Linked DNA regions of Nothobranchius furzeri. The protein of the gene in region 2 purifies or fractionates together with the protein of the main gene of each other region. This does not show direct contact. Links are inferred from orthologs where the notes say so. Each region holds a gene or a part of one and is shown on either strand. Other genes may lie near its edges.

Region 1 (3,994 bases), on a different chromosome or scaffold from region 2:
ACTGCCAACATTAAGCCAACGCCTGTAGTCGCCACACCCAGCAAACAGACCAACAACCCGGGAAGTAAACCCACTCCACGAGCAAGCATCAGACCCATGATTACCCCGGCCCCCGTGCCCACACCAACACCAACTGCTACAGTCATGCCAACCACACAGGTGGAGACCCAGGAAGGTAGCTGCAAAGTACAAATCAAATCAAATCCAATATGTTACTGAATTTTTTCTAAGTCCTGAACAAAGTGTAATTTCCTGTTAACCCTGATCTTCAACAGCCATGCAGTCGACTGAAAGCCCACCGGTGGAGCACGTGACCGTGTACGGCAGTGCCAGTGGTTCTGTGCGCTCCGCCAGCCCAAATGTCCAGACCACTTTAGCTAGTCCCATGTTGACCGTGCAGCAGACCCAGACCCAGGCCACGGCATTTGTTCAGCCGACGCAACAACAGAGTGTGACCCACTCAGAACCGGCCAGTCAGGACCCTCTGCCAGTTGTGATCGAGGCAACGCCCAGTTCTCAGGTGGAATGGCCATCAACGTCTTCCACTTCCTCTGTGTTTGGCACTGGTGAGAAATCCTCATAATAATCTGATGTGGATTAGGATTTGTTATTTACTAAGAAGATGTTTTTACAATTTTAACCATTTCTTTTTTAAATAATGGGAAAGTCCAAGTTAAGGAAATGTGTATCATATTAAAAAGCATTTTGCTCATTTTTATTTTACATTTAAAAATGGACAAAGGAAGATCTCACTGACTCACACAAAGTTGTATATTTTTGCTTTTCGTGCTACAGTTTAGAATAGATTGAAGGGGGTGGTTAATAATTGTCCATCTCTAGTTTCAGCGACACCGGGAACTTCTGCTTTGTCCAAGAGGCCTCGTGAGGAGGAGGAAAGCAGCGTCGTGACCGCTGAGACCGAAACAACCCAGGAGGACACCTCCAGGACTCCCATAGCCAAAAAGCTGCGCATGATCCAGAGAGTGGGCCCAGAGGTGAGGATCTAAACACCAGTGTTTACCAGATCTTGTTCAAATAAAAGCTGCTCCCATGGCTGATTTTCATCTGGTCTTCCTAGGAGGAGGTTCTGGTTGAGGAGAGTGGCGAAGCTGAAGGCGTAGTTCCATCGGACAGTCAGGATGGTGCAGAGCCAAGCCAGGTCACATGTCATCACTTATTTGAAGTTCTCTTACAGCTTCTGTTTCACCCAATAATGCTTTGGAGAAAAGTAGAATTCATTGAATATTTTTAGGATCTTATTTGGCATAAACATGAAGAGACATGCAACCATGCTAACTTAAACCTTTCGGAGCAAGGGTAGGCGCATATGTGATACAATATTACCGTTGGCACTTTGGCCATTCAGTCCCTTTACCAGAGGAGCGTGAGTTTGGTCCGCATAGCCGGTAGTAAGTCGGACCTGTTCCCAGTGAGGGTTGGACTCCGCCAGGGCTGCCCTTTGTCACCGGTTCTGTTCATCACTTTTATGGACAGAATTTCTAGACGCAGCCGTGGTGTGGAGTGTGTCGAGTTTGGTGGCAGGAGAATCTCGTCTCTGCTTTTTGCGGATGATGTGGTCCTCCTAGCTTCATCCAGCTCTGACCTTCAGCTCTTGCTGGGTAGGTTCGCGGCCGAATGTGAAGCGGCTGGGATGAGGATCAGCACCTCCAAATCTGAGACCATGGTTCTCGACCGGAAAAGGGTGGCTTGCCACCTCCGGGTCGGGGGAGAGGTCCTACCTCAAGTGGAGGAGTTTAAGTATCTCGGGGTCTTGTTCACGAGTGAGGGTAGGAGGGATCGGGAGATCGACAGGCGGATTGGTTCAGCGTCTGCAGTGATGCGGACGCTGAGCCGATCTGTCGTGGGGAAGAGGGAGCTGAGCCAGAAAGCCAGGCTCTCGATTTACCGGTCGATCTACGTCCCAGTCCTCACCTATGGTCATGAGCTTTGGGTAATGACCGAAAGAACGAGATCGCGGATACAAGCGGCCGAAATGAGTTTCCTCCGTAGGGTGGCCGGGCTCAGCCTTAGAGATAGGGTGAGGAGCTCGGACATTCGGGAGGGACTCGGAGTAGAACCGCTGCTCCTCCGGATCGAAAGGAGCCAGTTGAGGTGGTTTGGGCATCTGGTCAGGATGCCTCCTGGACGCCTCCCCGGGGAGGTGTTTCGGGCATGTCCTGCCGGCAGAAGGCCCCCGGGTCGACCCAGGACACGTTGGAGAGGTTACATCTCCAATCTGGTCCGGGAACGCCTTGGGGTCCTGCCGGAGGAGCTGGTGGACAAGGCCGGGGAGAGGACGGCCTGGAGCTCCCTAGTTGGGATGCTGCCCCCGCGACCCGGACCCGGATAAGCGGAGGAAGACGACACTTTGGACACTTAATTTGTTCTGAAATATAATTATTTTCTTGAGATATTCTATCAGCCTGGGTAGAAGACGCTTGGATTCCATGAAATTGCACCTCCAACTGTGTGATTTCCAACCATTTCATGACCTATCCCTAGATCCCAAGCAACGCAGCGTGGACCATGAAGAAGAAAGCAGCTTTGGCAACACGCACACCCACCAAACTTTGCAACCATTCCACTAGCGGTTAACCTTTCGGTTTTGCTCATCCCTCTCCGTCAGGTGGTTTTAACGTTTGAATGGTGCCAGTTTGAAGGAGTAGTTGGTGTTTAAATCCACTCCGGTACTGGCGGAGGTTTAACAATCAGTCTGTGAAATCACTGTCACCTGGCTTGGTCTTGAGAGCTCCTGAAGATAAAATCCAACCGTTTCTAGTGAGTAAGATCTTCTTTGGGAAGACCGAACAAAGTCCTGTACCTCTCACAGCCAAAGATGTGTTTTTGCATTCTAGAGTGCAGACTAGATGAGAAATAAGTAGCTTTTTGTACATCTGAGGAGATTAAATCACCCACTTGCAACTCGGAGAGTGGGCGTGATTGTTTACAGGGTTGGAGCAGGACAGGTTGATACACACCTGCAACTTCCAACTGTTTGCAATAGCTGGGCAGACCAGCAGCCAAAAATCACTTAGGGTGTTTTTGATTAGGAAATAACAAGACAACACTGTCAAAAGCTCAAAAAGTACATTCGCACAATATAGTCCCTGTAAGTAATTAAGTTGATCTCAGTTGTCTTGAATGTGCTGCACAAACAAATCAGACGTGGATCTTGTGGAGTATGGCACTACCTTCTCCCTCTGCTGGGAGCTGTAAGCTGCGTGTGTTTGACCTACATGCTCTTCTCTATGCAGACGGAGGAGTTCTCTAACCTGGAGGAAATGGAGGATGATGTCGCTACTCAGTCCATCATGGAGCACGGGGTCACCCCAACCCAAAGTGAGACCCAAGACCCTCTGCCGCAGGAGGTCATTGTCATCCTGACTGACTCTGAGAGTGAAGATGAGCAAGACGACGACGACGAGGAAGAAGAGGAAGAGCAGGTAGTGAGTTTGTGTGAAACACTTTTGAAGTCTCTGTGAAATATATGGGTAAGGCTCATTGGTGCATTGACCTCCTGGTGACTGTAGGATTATGTGGAGGAGGAGGAAGAAGATGAAGAAGAGGAGGAGGAGGAAGATGAAGAAGAGGAGGAAGACGATGGAGAGATGGCAGAGGAAGGAGACGACAGTAATGAGGGGAGTGGAGATGGCAATGAGGCCTATGAAGGGGACGACACAGAGGTTAGAGCATCACCGTGCTCACTTCCAGTCAGATGTTTGTTCTCTTTTCCTGCTCACCGCTCAGTTGCTCCACCGCCTCAGCTCACTGTCACATGTGATCGACCCTGCTGCTGTAACCTGTCTGCATGGGATTTTCACCCATATTTACTTGAGCTCTTTCTTGGATGCTCTTGTTTATGCTGAGTCAGCATTTAAAGTCTTAACGGTGTCTAGGTGTGTTTTTGGGTTAAATGTCATTTGAATACGGCATTAAACTGTTTGTTCCTTTTTGGGATGTTTTCAGACTCCTTTAAAGACAAGTGATCCTCATG
Region 2 (3,994 bases):
TGGACTGGTTGTTGTAGGGTGATGTGACATTTCGTATTCTGTGATTTAATGGTCACCTCATCTCACTGGGTACTTTTGATTGAGTGCCGCCATTCTCTGACAGGAGGACCAGAGGAAAATCAATGTGATTGATTGGCTGCTGTTTGACCCCGCCCATCGAGCCGAGGCTCTGAAGCAGTCCAACGCCATCATGAGAAGATTCCTCGGTATTTTTGCTGTTACGAGTGTTTTAGTCGTTTTGCTCCAGCGAGGATTTCACCGACGACTCTTTGTCTCTCAGCGCTGCAGAAGCACGACGCAGCCAAAGCTGTTTTCTCTAAAGTTCCTGAAGACTCAATGAGGAAGATATACTCTCAGTGGACGAGTGTTGGTCAGACCGGTCCTCTTCCTGCTGAGGATGAGAACGCCATCAGAGAACACCTGTGCATCAGAGCCTACCTGGTCTGTTACCTTCTTGCCTGTTTAAGCATGCGTTAGTTTGTCTTTCTGCAAAATACTTTAGTTTGTAGTCAAACTCAAAGTTATCGCAAGTTGTGTTCAGCAACTGAGGAAGGGAAAGGTAGGCCTTAAAATGGAGCACACGTGTGTGTAGCTCTTCACAGCCTCCGTGTAGATGTGTGAATGGATTAATGATGCGCTGTAGTGTAAAGCGCTTTGGGGTCCTCTGACTCTGAAAGGCGCTACACACGCCAAGGTCATTTATCATTAAACTCATTCGCTTCCAGCGTTTTTACTGTTTTTTTTAGAGTCACAGAACGTTGCGCGCTAGGATGATGTCGACGCCAAAACAACCAAAACAAAGCGGAGACTCACCTCTTACATCAGGAAGAAACCGCGCGTTTCGAGCGTTATCCGTTCTTTCATAATCCGTTGTTGAATTGTGATCGGCAGAAGCTTTTCCGGTTCGCGCCTCACTTTTTTTACAGCAGCGTTCCAAAACGATCTCCTAACACATGGATGTTCTGCTTCCTGATCACGTGACGTGTGACGTACGCGGATGAAGATCGACTTCAGAGCTGAGATGTTTGTTCTCACGTTGCGGGGGCTCGTCCGACGCCCACACAGTAAAAACATGCAGATGACGACTTAAGTCGTCAGTGGCAGTGAACGAGTTAAACAGAGAGGAGGTCATCTAGCGTTGGCATCACTTTCAGCCACCTTTCACGTGGAGGAGGATGAGGGTTCAGGAAAGGTTTTGTAGCTGGATGAGCAGAATTGAAATGGTAAATGGTCTGTATTTGATATAGCGCCTTCTAGCGTCCTGGAACCCCCCAAGGTGCTTTACAACACACACACACATTCACACACTGGTGGGGATGAGCTACGATGTAGCCACAGCTGCCCTGGGGCGCCCTGACAGAGGCAAGGCTGCCGAGCACTGGCGCCACCGGTCCCTCCGACCACCACCAGCAGGCGAGGGCGGTTAAGTGTCTTGCCCAAGGACACAACAGCAGACTGAGCAGGGCTAGAACCTGCAACCTTCCGATTACGGAGCGAGCACTCCTGTGCCACGAAATTTAAACGATGACGGTAAAATAATAATATTAATAATAATAATATAGGGATGCCTTTTAAGGGTGAATTAAATCACGATTTTGAGCGTCTATTCTATAAAAGACACTGAGCTAAAAACTGAGCGTCATTCACAATATTTGACCAAACAGACAAAACACCGTTATTTCTCAACACCAGCTTTTAGTTTGAATCTCATCGCAAAAGCCAGATTATGGATGTCTCCTAGCAACGATGCAGGTTTAGTAGTTCTGACTTTCACAGCTGTTGAATGTGTCTCTTTAGGTGGATGACAGCGGTACACTGATGTGATTGTGTGTCGTTGGTCCAACAGGAAGCTCACGAGGCCTTTACCGACTGGTTCAGTCACAGCAGTTCAGCACCAAAAAAACCAGCACCTGCGCCCGAGGCCAAGTTCACCGAGAGGGTGGCCAACGAGATGAAAGAGAAGGATTACCAGGTACACCAGCTACAGAGATTAAATATAATCCAGCCCCTGTCGTTTATATTTTCCTTGAGCTGCTGCTTCTCCAGCAGCAGTTTTTCATGTTTAGAGTTTATAGAGGCAGCAGAGACACGCAAGACGTCACCAAAGGGTGCAAAATGTGAGATTGCGTTAAATGTCCCCTTCAAATGAAGAAGTGATTATAACAGGATTCTGCACATCGTCCCACGGCGGTGAGGAGGTGATTCAACCATTTTATTCAACAGGAAACATGTAAAACATGCAGGACAGTCGTCCCAGAGGACCGACACCCGGAACACACCAGACGCGGAAGCACGACGCCGCGAAGCGCTGTGCACGACGAGCAACGGCCGTTTCCGCATGAGCTCTCATTTTTTCGTGAGCCGCGTCCATTTTGGCAGGAAGTCGAACTAAAACAGGAGGCAGGCCGGTAGATTTAACAAAATAAAGAAAATTTTCTAAATAAAACACCGCGATTGATAAATGTAATCATTTTTGTGTTTCTAAACAGACTAGAGAGATGAAAATGAACAAACACACACACACACACACACACACACACGTCTGCAGAGAAACAGTGTTTCCATAATTTTAAATGCAGTTTTTACAGCAAAAGACGGATTTAATAAACTTGAATAGAAACAAATATGTTTAATTCAAAGGTAACTACAACAGTATTGTACACTTCCACACACACTTACCCATTTAGAAAAGAACTGGTCTGCAAAACAGCAGCAGGACCAGCGCAGTTTCTGATAACAAGCAGGGCCAGCTGGTTACACACACACACACACGCACGCATGCATGCACGGGAATGGGGTTCGGGGGGGATTGGAAAACAGTAGGCGTGAGCAGAAGTGCTCGCCGGAAATTATCGCCTGATGTGAACAGAGGAGCAGCGGGTGTGTTCTGGGCGTGAAGCTGGCCACCTGCGGCGTAAAGGTTCCATAAGAACTGAATCTGTTGGACAGAACCAGAAGTAAATGTGTAGATTCAAGTTGAAGGATGCAAAAAGTACAGGTGAAACGGGAAAAATTACAATCTGGTACAAAAGTTCACTGATGTCACTAATTCAGTCTAAAAGGTGAAACGAATCAGAGACCGACTCATTCCAGGCAAATCCAGATGTTATGACTGTGGCTTACAGCTGATGAAACCCACACGTTCAAAACCTCCGGCAGTCAGACTGTTGTGAAAAGGCTCAATATTCTAGACTCGGGGAAGACTCTGATCAGCTGATGAAGCCAGAACAGCTGCAGAGGGTTCCTGAGCCTTTAGATGGTCTCTCAGTCTGAGCTGCGTTACTGACATAAATGGTTAGTTTCACCTGTAAGCTCCAGGAAGTGAATCCTGTTGTTCTCCAGAACCCAGCTGCACCTGTAACTAAAGCTTCTGGGTGTTTTTGCTGAATAAATGCAAAAAAATTAGTTTTATTAGGTTCAGTGTTTAGGCTAATACTGCATCTGTGTCCAGGGCAGAATTCAATAACTTCCTTCAGTCCTTCACAATAAGAGTCTCAAACATGCATTCCTCAAATCAACCAAAGCTCATATAAGTAGTTTATTATAATTACTGTTTACATTGAGGTCCATCTGTTTTTTTGTCTACTCATGAGTCCCGTCGCAACGTTATGATCCAAACAACCTAAAGGGTATAAACAGATAAATAGATCAATAGTTTTATTAGTTTACCGTTAGCATTGTTATCATTCCCTCTGCTGGTAGCACCGGCACCTCTCCGCTACGCTGGAACATTCTGGAAGGTTCTGCAAGCCTACGAAGGGATCAAATTCTGTCTGTAGTTAGCTGAAGTCTCTTCTGGTGGTTTCTGGCCAAAATGACCTTTTATGCTGCTGTGCAGCTTTAAAACAATTTAGTTTGTGTGTCTCGACGATATTTTAGAGCATTAATAATGATTTACAATTCAAGATTCAATAGATTATATTGTCAACATGCTTAATCAAAGGCTTCTCTTCAGCACCGGGCCCATTGTGTTTAAGCCTTTTAGACTGCTTTG
Region 3 (4,496 bases), on a different chromosome or scaffold from region 2:
GGTGGAGGATCCAAGTGCTGCAAGTGGGAATTTATTTACTTTTTTTTAACTAGATAAATATGTAAGTGTGCTGCTTGTCAATAAACCATTTATTTCATATAAAATTGCAATTTGGGGCTATAAGATGTTTTATCAGTGGGCTTGATAAAACATCTAGCTTCCATCCTACCACCTCACACATCACATTACATCACCTCACATCCACAATATCGCATCTCGTTATTCATATCTTGTCATGTATAAATATTAATTTTGTAAAAGAATTAAATTAATTTCATAAACTATATACCTGACTCTGTCTGAATTACAGTAATACAAAGTGTGTTTATGGTCCCTGAACAAGTAAAAGTAACTATATTCTTCTGATTAAACATTCAAAGATCAGTCAGGTTGATATTTCATATTTATATGGAATAATTTGTGTGTGTGTGTGTGTGTGTGTGTGTGTGTGTGTGTGTGTGTGTGTGTGTGTGTGTGTGTGTGTGTGTGTGTGTGTGTGTGTGTGTGTGTGTGTGTGTGTGTGTGTGTGTGTGTGTGTGTGTGTGTGTGTGTGTGTGTGTTACCGTGGTCTGGTGCCTCATATCCACACCCATCAGCGCCTCGCTAAGGAAGACGAACGTGTTTATTGCAGCTATGTAGCGAGGGTCATACAGAATTGCTTGAGCCCTCATCTGCAGCAGCAAGGACCTCAGTAAAAGGCCGAACCTGGTCCTTGGTGGGTTAGGATAAAAACAGCTGTCAGGTCAGACTATTGTGGGTTTATGGCGTCACCTTGTGGTCATCTGGGGTAACGACGTGATAATTTGCTGTCCAAAAATCACAATCTGAGAGACATCTTCAAAAATTGACTATTATTACCAGTTGATATTTAGGAGACCTGAAAAAGAAGCACTTGTTCCTCTTAAAATAATGTTTTTTTTTTGTTTTAATGTTGTATTGAAATGATAAAGGGAATGTAATGTATCGATGTGTTCTGTTTTCTGTCTTTTTCTATTTGTTTACGTGAATTCATGTTACTATTTTATTAGTAATTATAATATGATTACAGACAGGTGTAAATGTACTGTGTGTGTGTGCGTGTGTGTGTGTGTGTGTGTGTGTGTGTGTGTGTGTGTGTGTGTGTGTGTGTGTGTGTGTGTGTGTGTGTGTGTGTGTGTGTGTGTGTGTGTGTGTGTGTGTGTGTCCCAAGTATGTTTGTTTTACACTGAGTAGGAGATGCTCTGTATCTCACTTTACACCTGTATGGTGACAATAAAGGTATTCTATTCTATTCTATTCTATGTATAGAGGGTCTTTGTACATTTAAGTTTCCATCAATAATTTTAGCTTTTAGCTCAAATAAACTGTTTCCTTTTTATTGTTTGATTATTTTTTGTTTGTTTGTTTGTTAAATGAAGCGTTTTTAAAGTTTTTATTATTCTTCTTTTTTAATTCACGCAGAACTATCATTTGGCGTTTTGTTTTACCCGGTAGGAAGTGAGGTGGGACTCGGTGGAGGAAACGGCTTCTGTACTTGTTGCCACGTCGGAATTGTGAACCTTGTGAAGTTAGTCGATAGAGAACAGGGGCTTCTTGTTTACACGGTTTAGCCACAGCCATGGTGAATTTCGTCACTTTTTGTTTTAGTTTCAGCTCAAAATATTCTAGGATGTTGATTTTATGTTTACATTTTGCTGGCTAGTCTTGGTAGCTGTCAATCCATTAGCACGATCGCTAACGGCAGGAGGCTAATCTGTCTGGATATAGTTTTATATTTGCTTGATTTTGTTCTTATTTGTTTGTCAATTGCAGGTTTCCGTTATAAACACGGTGGACACTTCACACGAGGATATGATCGTAAGTGTTTATGTTTTATCCAGTTTTATTTTTATCTCTGATGCTAAAAGCTAACAGTTAGCGGCTGTAGCTTTTATCTTCATTCAGTACCACAAGTGTAAGTGTTCTGTGTAAAGCAGCAGTTTTTAATTTAAATATGTAATACTGTTGGGATGTGTGTTTTGAGAAAGGAGTAGCACATTGTTTTAATTAGTTTAGTGCTTTTAGATCGTTCAGTCAAAATGTTTGTCTTAACTGTACCAGATGCTATAGTGTAATAATTACAGAAACAGTGCTATGTGGATTATTCTGTAGTGTTGACTGTGAAAATTTGTTAAATAGTCTTTAAACTTCACTTAATCGGCGTGTTTTGCATTTTCGTTTTAGTTGTAGGGAAAATCTAGCCGAAATCATTCACGTATTCACATTCTCCCTAAAAAGATAAGATTAATCATGTTCTCAATGTTTCAATTTAAGGAAATCAAAACCAAAACAAACATTCAAATGATGCAGTTTATGCCGCACATTTGTTATGTGATGGTGAAAGATTTAAGGAATGGGTTTCAGTTTAGCACCATCAGTTCATTTATGAATAAACCAGGTGTCATGCTTCCATTGTTTGGTGCTTTTGCTGCCCCATAGAAATCCCCACCAACATTCCTGGTGTTGCTTTGTTGTCTGTTTCAGCATGATGCCCAAATGGACTATTACGGGACTCGACTCGCCACGTGTTCTTCTGACCGCACCGTTAAGATCTTTGACGTCCGCAATGGTGGACAGATCCTGGTGGCAGACCTCAGAGGGTAAGAGATCTAAGCTTTGGAATATGCACAGAAATTTACGTAAGTAGAGTTGTCAAGTGAATGTCAATACACTTCCATTTATTTCCTAAAGATTTAATCTTCACCTGTTCTGTAATGTATTTTTATTTATTTATTTGTGTGTGTGTGTGTCCTGCATCATGTAGCCACGAGGGCCCTGTGTGGCAGGTGGCGTGGGCTCATCCAATGTTCGGCAACATTCTAGCATCCTGTTCATACGACCGCAAAGTCGTCATCTGGAAGGAGGAGAACGGCACCTGGGACAAGATGTATGAGTACACTGGACACGAGTCATCAGGTAGAGTTCTCCATTATTCTAGTGCCGGGGTGTTCATTTCCAAGCCTGGAGGGCCAGTATCCATTATGTTTTAGTTTTAACTGTTTCAACACACCTGATTTCAATCAGCAGGTGATTAACAGGCTTCTGCAGAGCCAGATGAGCTGCTGCACAGGTGATTCAACCATTGAATCAGGTGTGTTAGAGCAGAGAAACTACTAAAATGTGCTGGATACCGGCCCTCCAGGACCGGAATTGAATATCCCTCTAGTGGTTTAAATGTGCTCCTCCTCCTCATTCTGCTAATCCATGTGGCCTTCTTGAAAGAAGTTCAGGTGCTAGTAATGCTGGAAGAAGTTCCGTTTTTCTTACAGATAACAAATGTTTTGATCTTAATGTTGTAATTTTATTTCTTCTTCTGCCCGACAGGTCAGTGTAATGCACCAAAGTACACGTCTTGTTTCAGATATGTTCTCTTTTTTTTTGCCAACACCTTTAGAAAAATGAAATATTCAGATTAAGTTCTGTTTCTACAACATTCTCTTTTGTTTGAGTACATTTCTTTTTCCCTTTCTAATTGATCCTTCCTTTTTAAGAAATTACAAAGAAATTCATGTTCATATATTGGGGCTGAGAGATCAGTTTGACTGAATAGTTTTCCACACAACTTGATCTCGTCCTTAACTCTGTCTCTGTGTTTGCAGTGAATTCAGTCTGCTGGGGTCCGTATGAATTTGGTCTAATCCTAGCCTGTGGCAGTTCAGATGGAGCAATTTCCCTCCTCACATTTACTGGTGATCAGCAGTGGGACGTCAAGAAGATCAGCAACGCACACACCGTGAGTTAAAAATGAAATGGTTTTCCTAAGTTGTCACCAATCTTTTAAACTTTATTCTGTCTCACCTTTTCTAATTTAGTGTTTCTGTGTCTTTTGGGGCGTGAAGTGTATCTTTAGAATAATTAAAAGCTTTATTTTTTGCTTCAGATTGGCTGTAATGCAGTGAGCTGGGCTCCTGCTGTAGTTCCAGGCAGCCTGATCAATCAGCCATCAGGTCAGAAACCAAACTACGTCAAACGCTTCGTCTCTGGCGGATGTGACAACCTGGTGAAACTCTGGAAGTAAGTTGCTGTTGAAAATCTGTCATCCTGTATGGATAAAAAAAAGAACACTTTCAACAGTGAACGTCAGATGTAGCTAATATTCTGTGGCCTGAATAATGTTCTGCCTGCAGAGAGGAAGACGGTCAGTGGAAAGAGGACCAGAAGTTGGAGGCGCACAGTGATTGGGTCAGAGACGTCGGCTGGGCTCCTTCTATTGGTCTTCCCACCAGCACCATCGCCAGCTGCTCCCAGGTCCGATTTCTTTTTTTTTCTTTTTTTTCCCCCCCGTGTCCTGTCTGGCTGTGAAGCAAACAGAATTGATGTCTGAATGCTGGTGACAAGCCTTACAGATTTACTCTCAGGTGGAGCATCAAAGCGTCTGCTTTTAATGTCACACCTGGTACTTAAAACTTTATTGTTATTGTTTTTGAATGCTTTGTAATTCCGACCAGACACGGAGTCAGAGGTGAAAGAGAAAGAAA
Region 4 (4,623 bases), on a different chromosome or scaffold from region 2:
AGATCTCAGACAGATCCTGAGACGCTCCTGCCTGACATATTTATTTTATTCATGGAAAACAATCAAACTAGTGATTTCTCTTGGTGTTCAGTTTATACATTCAAACAGCACAGCACTCTATTTAAACTACTTACGTGTAAATCTGTTATTTGTCCATCCATCCATTTTCATCCGCTTATCCGGAGTCGGGTTGCGGGGGCAGTAGCGTCGAGAGGTCCAGACTTCCCTTTCCCCAGCCGCCTGAGCCAGCTCCTCCGGGGAAATCCCAAGGGGTTCCCCGGCCAGATCCGGTAAGAAGTCCGCTCCGACAGCTTCTGGCGTTTTAAAAAAGTATCCCAGGGGCACGGTTAAGGGTCGGAGATGTTTGGTCTATTTAATTTCTGACTATATAAAACGATTTCTTCAGTTTTAAAGTGTGAAGTAAACTCAGACGAAGTAAAATCCAAGCCGATCCCGTTCATGTTCATGTTTACGATCCGTGTTTGTTTACCATTTTTTCCCTGCCAATATGGCGTCTACTAACTGAGAGTCACGTGGGGTCCGGAGCTCTATAGATGTGTGTAGTCAATAATTTGGCACTTTAGTGCATCTTATAATTTAAATATGCAGCCTAAAACTGTCAGTGTTGCGCCCCCTTCAGGTAAAAACTCTGCACTACATTTGAATTTAAATCTGCCATCACTGTTGGCTAAGAGGTACCCTTTGAAGTCAGCTGGTACATTATGATGTCACAATGCCGTTGTGAACCTGTTTGTGTGTGTTTGTTAACGGCTCCGCCCTCTCGGTCAGCCAGGCAAACGCATTCGTTGCATTTTTCAAACATGAAGTGGGAGTGTAGTAAGTTTCTTGTAGTGTGACTTGCTCTTTAATTAAATGAAATGCTACAGCATTTGTGGCCATAGCAACTCATGAGGGGAACTCATTCTCTTATTGTTTAGCTAAAAATGCAATAATAACTGTATTTATGTTACAGGTTAAACACGGTCATCTCCCCTTCCCTTCTTAACAAAACCAAAGTGTAATTCCCCAATGCATAAACATTAACATGCTGGTGCTGGTGGTGATGAGCTACATCGTAGCTACAGTTGCCCTGGGGCTCATTGTGTGTGTGTGTGTGTGTGTGTGTGTGTGTGTGTGTGTGTGTGTGTGTGTTTGTGTGTGTGTGTGTGTGTGTGTGTGTGTGTGTGTGTGTGTGTGTGTGTGTGTGTGTGTGTGTGTGTGTGTGTGTGTGTGTGTGTGTGAATAACTGGTTGTATTGTAAAGTGCTTTGAAGGGGGTTGTAGAACCCTAAGAAGTGAGTGACTTATGCTTAAGTGTACCATGAACATCTCATTTGTATCTAAAATGCAGTAAATTCGCCAAACTTGGCAACCCTGTTTGAATTGAAGCACCCCCCCCCCCAATGTGGTTCACTGTTCAAAAACCTCTCTCTCTCTCTCTCTCTCTCTCTCTCTCTCTCTCTCTCTCTCTCTCTCTCTCTCTCTCTCTCTCTCTCTCTCTCTCTCTCTCTCTCTCTCTCTCTCTCTCTCTCTCTCTCTCTTTCTCTCTGTCACGTGACAGGCGGGAGCTTGTGCTAACCAGTGCAGTGCAGCTAATCTCGCTGTTGTTTTTCTTCTAACCATGTTCGTAGCTCGGAGTATCGCTGCGGACCATAAAGATCTGATCCACGATGTCTCTTACGATTTTCACGGCCGGAGAATGGCAACATGCTCCAGCGACCAGAGTGTGAAGGTGAGCTGACTCAAGCTAGCATGTTAGCGTCACCCACGTTCCTAGCTTCTTACTGAACACACTCGTGTTGTGTGCTGGCACATTATGCGCTTATTAGCTAAATTAGACAAAATTTGTTTTAAAACTATAAACTAATTTAAAGTATTGCATGTTACTGTACTTACATTGTAGCATGCAGGCTAATGTGTGCAGACGTTTGACTGGAATATGAACGTATCAGTAAAAGCTTCAATCACGTAAGGCAGCGAGTGTTGTGTTTTAGGTAGGAACCATAGGAACTCATTTCGTGTGTTGTCAGTTTAAAATTAATGTGTGGAGATGACGTAACAGCAGCTGTTTATTGTGACTTCCTGACAGGTTTGGGACAAAAGTGAGAATGGAGAGTGGCACTGCACAGCCAGCTGGAAGGTAAACAACCTGCTTACGTTTGTTTACATGACCGTAAAAGCCCTTCCTGGGTAATCTTTGCTGTTTCAACAGATTTACTATTGCTCTACACTCACGGGCACTATCAAGTTTGCCAATAGATCCGGGTTGGACCTCTTTTAGACCTCTTTAGAACCACCTTAATCCTTCATCTCAAAGAGCCAACAAGAAGTTAAAGTGGTCCTCAGAGGCTCTGGTCCAACCTGACATGACAGCATCGGCTCCAACCATGATGAGAAGCTCCAGTTCCACCACATCCCAAAGGTTCTGGGCTGGACTGAGATCTGTTGACTGTGGAGGCCATTAGAGTCCAGTTCTAGAAACTAGTTAGAGATGATCTGAGCTATGTGACATGGTGCTGCTGGAAGTAGCATCAGAAGATGGGTCTATGTGGTCATAAAGGGCTGGACATGGTCAAACTCTTCAGCTTCTCTTCTTCTATTCTATACAACATTCAAACCATGGAAATGTCTTTTCCTCCACATTCTGATGCTCAGTTTCAACTTCAGCAAGTAGCCTTCATCATGTCTAGATGCCTAAATGGACAGTGCCGCCCGTCATGCGATTGGCTGAGTGGAAATGTGCAAAGCTGTAGAATAGGTCAATCAATCAAAGCTTTCAATCAATCAAAGCTTTATTTATAAAGCGCCTTCCGCAACCCTGTCAGGAAGCCCAAAGCGCTGAACATGGTACAGTTGTAAGTAATTATATTGAATAAATCAACAATAAAAGAAATTCAAATTACAAAATACAAATTACAAAATACAAAATGGAAATTACAAGATAGATGAAACATTCCGGTAAAATACAAATGTGTGAAACACATTTGGATTGAGTGGATGGATTGAGTGTACCAATGAAAACTGTGGAATGGATTCAACATAAAAGAGTGCCAAAATCAAACATGTTCTGGAAATGCCAAGCGGAGGAGGTGTGTTTTTAGGTGATTCTTAAAGACTGGCAGAGAAGGGGACAGCCTAACTGAGGGTGGCAACTGGTTCCAGAGTAACGGTGCTAGGACTGAGAAAGCTCGGTCCCCACGGGTACGACACCTAGACCGAGGGACAGCGAGCAGGCCTTGGTCAGAGGAGCGCAGAGCGCGTGATGGGGAGTGTCTTTTCAGGAGTGTGGCTAGATAGGGGGGAGCACCACCCTGGAAGAAATGATAAACAAAGACGAGTATTTTGAATTGTGAGCGATAGGAAATCGGAAGCCAGTGCAGGGAGGCCAGAACTGGACTGATGTGGTCCCGTTTCCTGGTCCCAGTCAGGAACCTGGCAGCGCTGTTCTGCACAACCTGTAGGCGATGCAGTGTTGACTGATACAACCCTGCATATAGAGAGTTGCAGTAGTCAAGCCAAGAAATTAGAAAGGCATGCAGTACCCGCTCCAGGTGGGCTCTTGACAGCATATGCTTGATTTTAGCAAGGCGTCTCAGGTGAAAGAAACTGGACCGGATCACAGAATTGATGTGAGCATCAAATTTAAGTCCTACATCAAGTTTCACCCCCAAACTGGTAACAACTGGTTTTGAGTATGGAGAAAGAGGGCCAAGATCAGCATAACGATCCACATTCCTGCTGTTGGGGTGAAAAACAATGAGCTCTGTCTTTCCCTCATTCAGATGTAGATAGTTGGACATTAGCCAAGACTTCACCTCATTAACACAGGAGACAAAGGACTGAATAAAGTGACCTTTCTCCTGACACAATGGAGAGTAAATCTGGCAATCGTCAGCATACAGATGGAATGATAGGCCATGTTTACGAAAGATTGACCCCAGAGGTAGCAGATGTACCTATGAAGTGACTGGTGAGTGTATATTTGTGTATTTTGGACTTATCCATGATGTAATGATGTGTGTGCAGACCCACAGTGGATCAGTGTGGAGAGTAACCTGGGCCCATCCAGAGTTTGGGCAGGTCCTGGCCTCCTGCTCCTTCGACAGAACAGCTGCTGTCTGGGAGGAGATCGTAGGGGAGTCCAATGACAAACAGAGAGGCCTGAGCCACTGGGTTTGTACAGCCACAGCTCAGTCATTAATGTTTTCATAGGTTTGCCTGTCTCGAGTCCTGACCCGTGTTTCTGGTGCTCTGATTCAGATAAAGAGAACAACACTGGTGGACAGCAGAACATCTGTAACTGATGTGAAGTTTGCTCCTAAACACATGGGTCTGATGCTGGCCACCTGCTCTGCTGATGGAGTGGTGAGGATCTACGAGGCTCCTGACGTGATGAACCTGAGCCAGTGGTCTCTGCAGCACGAGATCTCATGCAAGCTCAGCTGCAGCTGTATATCCTGGAACCCTTCCAGGTTAGATGATAATTATTTCACTTAACACATGGGGGACATGTTTGTTTCTGTAATCGGTCATTTGGAGAATTTCCTTAAACCTGAGCATCACTGTTGCTGCTGCCATTCCTTTATGTCTTGTTTTATGACAAGAGGTCATTACACAAGAGGTG
Region 5 (4,542 bases), about 1.6 Mb from region 2:
CGATTCTGGATGTAAATATAGTTCATTTTGAGTTTCTTTTTTACATTAATGGTATATTTTTTTACAGTAAGATGCCCAAATTTTTATTTGAGACTCGCCGAACGGCATTGAATTCACAGATAAAAAAGATGTGGGTTCAACTTTCATTTTGGAACAATTTTTCAAGCAAGGGAAGGGAATGATCTGAGCATGCAGGAGGACTGACCCATCATAAACCTTTGTCGGCTGTGCTGAAGAGAAAAGTACAGAACCAAATTATTTATTTAATTAGCTGTGCGTTCTCCTGTCCTCCGGGCCACACACACACACACGGGACTGTCAGCTGCTATTTTCGTTAAGGAGTGTGCACGTACAGCATGTGCGCCTCGTGCACGAGCCTACTATTGAAGCTGCCGTTACGCTTTTGGCCTGAGGGGGCAATCGCAAGCATCAAAATTCAAAACTCCGTAAAGTCCCTTTAATAATAGTGTGTATTATTTACACTAATCAAAAATTCTGTAATGTTCGCAGACATCTAAACCTTAGAAATGAAATAAAATCAATATTAAATTTAAAAATAATTAATATTGTTTCTTCATTAAGAGAACAGTTATCTGTGAGCACTTTTTATACTTGATATTGTCCAGCTGAAGCAGACATCTGCTTATTTCTAACAGAGCTGAGCTGTGGGAGAAAATATACAGGCTTATTTAATTTTATTTTCCCATCACCTGTGAGTTTTGAGCATTCACTTAATATTAATTATAAAATCATAAATAACAGGTCACTCTGGGCTAGAACGTGTTTCTAGGAACAGAAGCTTGTTGGGTTAGGTTGGCAGCAGCTCACCTGTTCCTGACAGGAGAAATCCTCTCATCAGCAGCAGGTGATCTACAGAGTAACACCGGCCCGAAAAAATAAATAAATAAATAAAAACCCAAAAAACACCGAACTCAAATAGGGCCACCGGGAATTTCCCCAGCTGGGTCCTGGTTCCGCCCACCGTCGGATATATAAACACACAACTTAGATCTGAAAAACGGAACTATGAAAATATAGTTGACTTGCAAAAAAAGGTATTAGGGTTGACACTGCTAAGATTACACGTGTGATCCACCGAACAAGCAAGGCAATTGACACATAATAACACAGTATTCTGTTACCAGTCAGCAAAGATTTACAAAATAATTATGGTAAAATGTTATACCTGATGGTAGGTATCCTGTTCAGCTGAGACTCTGGACTCCAAGCCAAAACTTCGACTTGCAACTCGTGATGAAAAGCTCGAAGTATGTTGAATTCAACTCCCTCCACCTCCATATCCTCCTCCTGTTGATGCAAATTCACATGAAAGACAAAAATAATCGATGTGAAGGGTAAACCTGGCTGTGTGGAGCTGCATCTCTAACCTGGAAGAGGCAGGTGGCCACCACCACATACTGGTTCCCACCGTAAGCCAGGAGAGAGACGGGGGTACCCGAGCTGAAGGGACTGAACTCCACCACATGGACGTAGTCGTCACATGGCACAGTGTAGCTGGGACTGTGGATAGCGCCCTCCTGCATGACGTGTATGCTGGGAAAGCTGGCTCTGAACCGGGACTTCCACTGTTATTTATATCAAAACAAAGAGGGGCAAATTAGCACATTAAACAGGATCATTTCTGCACAGATCCGGTAAAACTGTTCTAGTAATGAGTTGTTTCAGTTTGTCTCAGTTGTATTCAGGTAATAATGTAATTGGTTACTTTACTCACAACTGTTAAACGTGTTACTCGGTCTATCATTTTGATGACTTCTCACTTTTCACAGAATGTGCTTGAAAAAATATGTCTTCATTATTTCTTAGTTCATCCAATGGCTAGTTTTAAGTTATTAATATTAATATAATGCACAAATGCAGGGGCTCCACATTGACATAGCTGGTAGCCTTGCAGCAAGAAGGTTGCAGGTTAAAGTCCTGGCTATGGCACTGACCTAAGAGATGCATTTCAGGTTAATTGTCTCAAGTTTTGAGTGTGAGTGACTGGTTATCTGTGCGTTCCTGTGATGGATTGGAGAACTATCTAGGCTGTTCTCTGCTTCTCGCCTGATGATCGCTGGAGTTACCAGCTACCCATGACCCTGCTGAGGGTAAAGCAGTTAGGAGTGAACTGCTTATGCTCTTGTATTTGTTTATTTAGGCAGAAACCCTTCTCGACTTGGAAACCCGGATTACTGATTAACTTTTATTTAAAATGACACAAAAATAAATCTGAAAGATGTTCAGACTAATTAAAAATTATATAACTTAAATCATAAAATCTAAAAGGCACAGGCTGGTTTTGGCTGAGGATAACGGAGAGGGCTTGATCACCTGGTTTCCTTAAATTGTACTTTTCTTTTACAAATTTTGGAAGGTAGTCCTGGTAAAATCAGTGAGAAACATTGCGAATGATGCTACAAAGCTATTTAGGTCACTGTTTAATTCGGCAAATTGTAAACACAAATCAAACTTGAATAAATCATAAATAGAAAAATTACACAGGAAAGATACTTGAGTTACATTAAACTACAGTTTTTGTAAACGGCTTTACAGTTACCAGTTACAACAGTGGGGTATCCCGAACATTTGGGAACAAAAACTGCCTCTTTTGTCGCGTATAAATGTATTTCCAGTAAACTCTGTCCACTCCACGCGTGCACATAACAGTGAGCTAAAACCTGGGGCTCCAATTATTACTGGTTTTTAGCAGTAAATGCTCAAACCGACAACTTATGATCCAATTATTTCTATATATTGTATATTTCCATTTCAAACCCTGTAATAGCTTCAATACTTTACCAAACTACTGGCAGTGAAATTGCTGCATAAACAACGCCGCGCGCTCGATGGTTTTCTCATCTACTTCCGGATACGATTTGTGGAACGTACCATCATTTGAAAATATCAGGGGGTTAAGGGGTACAACGAACCTAAATAAATCATACATATTTTTTTAAATACATGAAAATACAATCGTACTTAATCATAATTTATGCTAACTTCAACTTCAGTAAACTGTTAACAGTTCGTAAAATGTGATTGATCTAAAAGTACATTTGTACAAAGCCCCCCTGTGTGCTTGCTTCAATTTAATTGGCCAGAAGGCACATGGCGTCACAGTCGATTTAAAATTTCAAAACAGCTGCTGCCTTTGTCGTGGACTTGGAAGGCTGCAACGAGAAAACAGGTTAGAACTGTTTAAACGGTTTAAACCCACTTTTTGGGGTCAAATTTTAATATAAATGTGTCGAGTGTGTGGGGGTACATACAGGTGATGAAAATAAAAATAAATATAATGGAACACGTTAGTTGTGTTATTTCAGCAGTTGCTGGCCACAACATCTGACTGAAGATGTTAGGCTTTACATTTATGTTCAACATATTTTATTTGCCTTTCAAACACAAACTAAAGCTCTTCTAGTAAATGTTACTTAACCCTTTTCTAAATCTTGAAACCAACACAAAAACAGTCTTAAAGAGCTCTTTCTGCTATTTTTGTTATAGGATATAATGACAGCTTTAGGGGACCGCCTCAAGGTGATGGTGAAAACCTTCAGGAGAGAGTGTCACAGGATGTTGGAGTCTGAAAGGACCACCATTCATGGAGCTGACGGCATGCTGCTGGTGCTGCAGGTGGCCATGGCAGAAGTGAACAAACAGGTGAGCGTTAGTTCATCCTGTTTGTGATGCAGATTAATTTTAAAAATCAAATCTTCCAATAACCTAGGTTTTAGTTTTGTTAACATATATTTAAAATTTTTCATATTTATTTCACAGAGGCATGCACTCTGTAATAAAACATAATAATAGAACGTCCATACCTGATGACAATACCCGAATGAGACTTCTGATTGCTAATTTTTTGGACCTCTGCAGGTCTTTCTCCTTTTGGACTGGTTGGTTCCAACCCATCAGTAATTGTGACTTCTTCTCTCCTCCTCTGACAGCTGAATGGAGAGTTCAGAGTGGCTCTGAGTGACGTCCTGATGGCCTGGAAACACTTATTGTTAGACAGACTTCACCTGCCGCCCCCCAGCTCTGCACGTTTGGAGAACTATGATCTCATCCTGGAGGCGTATGAATCTTTCCTGCAACGCTCCAACACGCTGGATCTGATTGATGTCCTGTCCATGTACAAACAGCTCAAGGTGGTGGACTCTGACCCAGAGGAGCCCGTAGGCTCGGTGAGCAGTAAATAGTTAGTGGAGACTTGATTTGGTTATTGAATTATAGATAAAACTGATGAAAAATCTAATGTGCTCTTAACTTTTTTGTTTTTCACCAAGATCCAGCTGTTTGAGGTTTTATCAGGTAACATGGAGGTCCCAGAGGGGCCAAACTCACCAGTCCCTTCAACACCATCCAGCAGAAGCAGACCTTGCAGCTCACAGGTGGGCCCACTTGGTGCTGTAATGATAATAGAGGGTAACTTGGGTTAAGTAAATTGCTTGAAAAGCTATTTATATTAATACCACTACTTGTGACCAATAGCTGCGATACTCTATATAAATAGAATATCCCCTGCTTGGTCTTAGGATG

Evidence for each region.
Region 1: the proteins of nup107 (region 2) and tprb fractionate together in Homo sapiens (co-fractionation; 4 studies listed by BioGRID and IntAct, with this or other methods). This does not show direct contact. The link is inferred for Nothobranchius furzeri from reciprocal best matches to the Homo sapiens genes NUP107 and TPR.
Region 3: the proteins of nup107 (region 2) and sec13 purify together in Homo sapiens (affinity purification with mass spectrometry; 8 studies listed by BioGRID and IntAct, counting the BioPlex papers as one, with this or other methods). This does not show direct contact. The link is inferred for Nothobranchius furzeri from reciprocal best matches to the Homo sapiens genes NUP107 and SEC13.
Region 4: the proteins of nup107 (region 2) and seh1l purify together in Homo sapiens (affinity purification with mass spectrometry; 5 studies listed by BioGRID and IntAct, with this or other methods). This does not show direct contact. The link is inferred for Nothobranchius furzeri from reciprocal best matches to the Homo sapiens genes NUP107 and SEH1L.
Region 5: the proteins of nup107 (region 2) and nup37 purify together in Homo sapiens (affinity purification with mass spectrometry; 7 studies listed by BioGRID and IntAct, with this or other methods). This does not show direct contact. The link is inferred for Nothobranchius furzeri from reciprocal best matches to the Homo sapiens genes NUP107 and NUP37.

What each region holds. Positions count from the first base shown.
Region 1 is NC_091748.1:67,332,935-67,336,928, reverse strand, and holds part of tprb (translocated promoter region b, nuclear basket protein), read left to right. Parts: coding exon 1-175; intron 176-275; coding exon 276-566; intron 567-840; coding exon 841-995; intron 996-1,078; coding exon 1,079-1,159; intron 1,160-3,254; coding exon 3,255-3,443; intron 3,444-3,530; coding exon 3,531-3,683; intron 3,684-3,994.
Region 2 is NC_091741.1:38,068,340-38,072,333, reverse strand, and holds part of nup107 (nuclear pore complex protein Nup107), read left to right. Parts: intron 1-103; coding exon 104-206; intron 207-280; coding exon 281-441; intron 442-1,846; coding exon 1,847-1,972; intron 1,973-3,994. UniProt on the Homo sapiens protein: Plays a role in the nuclear pore complex (NPC) assembly and/or maintenance. Required for the assembly of peripheral proteins into the NPC. May anchor NUP62 to the NPC. Involved in nephrogenesis.
Region 3 is NC_091743.1:73,558,597-73,563,092, reverse strand, and holds the start of sec13 (protein SEC13 homolog), read left to right. Parts: upstream 1-1,467; 5' UTR 1,468-1,597; coding exon 1,598-1,600; intron 1,601-1,791; coding exon 1,792-1,836; intron 1,837-2,502; coding exon 2,503-2,618; intron 2,619-2,782; coding exon 2,783-2,934; intron 2,935-3,617; coding exon 3,618-3,751; intron 3,752-3,898; coding exon 3,899-4,032; intron 4,033-4,145; coding exon 4,146-4,266; intron 4,267-4,496. UniProt on the Homo sapiens protein: Functions as a component of the nuclear pore complex (NPC) and the COPII coat. At the endoplasmic reticulum, SEC13 is involved in the biogenesis of COPII-coated vesicles.
Region 4 is NC_091745.1:49,023,410-49,028,032, reverse strand, and holds the start of seh1l (nucleoporin SEH1), read left to right. Parts: upstream 1-1,540; 5' UTR 1,541-1,620; coding exon 1,621-1,731; intron 1,732-2,088; coding exon 2,089-2,139; intron 2,140-4,025; coding exon 4,026-4,172; intron 4,173-4,259; coding exon 4,260-4,471; intron 4,472-4,623. UniProt on the Homo sapiens protein: Component of the Nup107-160 subcomplex of the nuclear pore complex (NPC). The Nup107-160 subcomplex is required for the assembly of a functional NPC.
Region 5 is NC_091741.1:39,627,164-39,631,705, forward strand, and holds the start of nup37 (nucleoporin Nup37), read right to left. Parts: upstream 2,924-4,542; 5' UTR 2,863-2,923; coding exon 2,803-2,862; intron 2,778-2,802; exon of another isoform or gene 2,561-2,777; intron 1,587-2,560; coding exon 1,389-1,586; intron 1,309-1,388; coding exon 1,187-1,308; intron 1-1,186. Other genes in the region: parpbp (PCNA-interacting partner), read left to right, coding at 3,514-3,663, 3,951-4,187, 4,290-4,394. UniProt on the Homo sapiens protein: Component of the Nup107-160 subcomplex of the nuclear pore complex (NPC). The Nup107-160 subcomplex is required for the assembly of a functional NPC.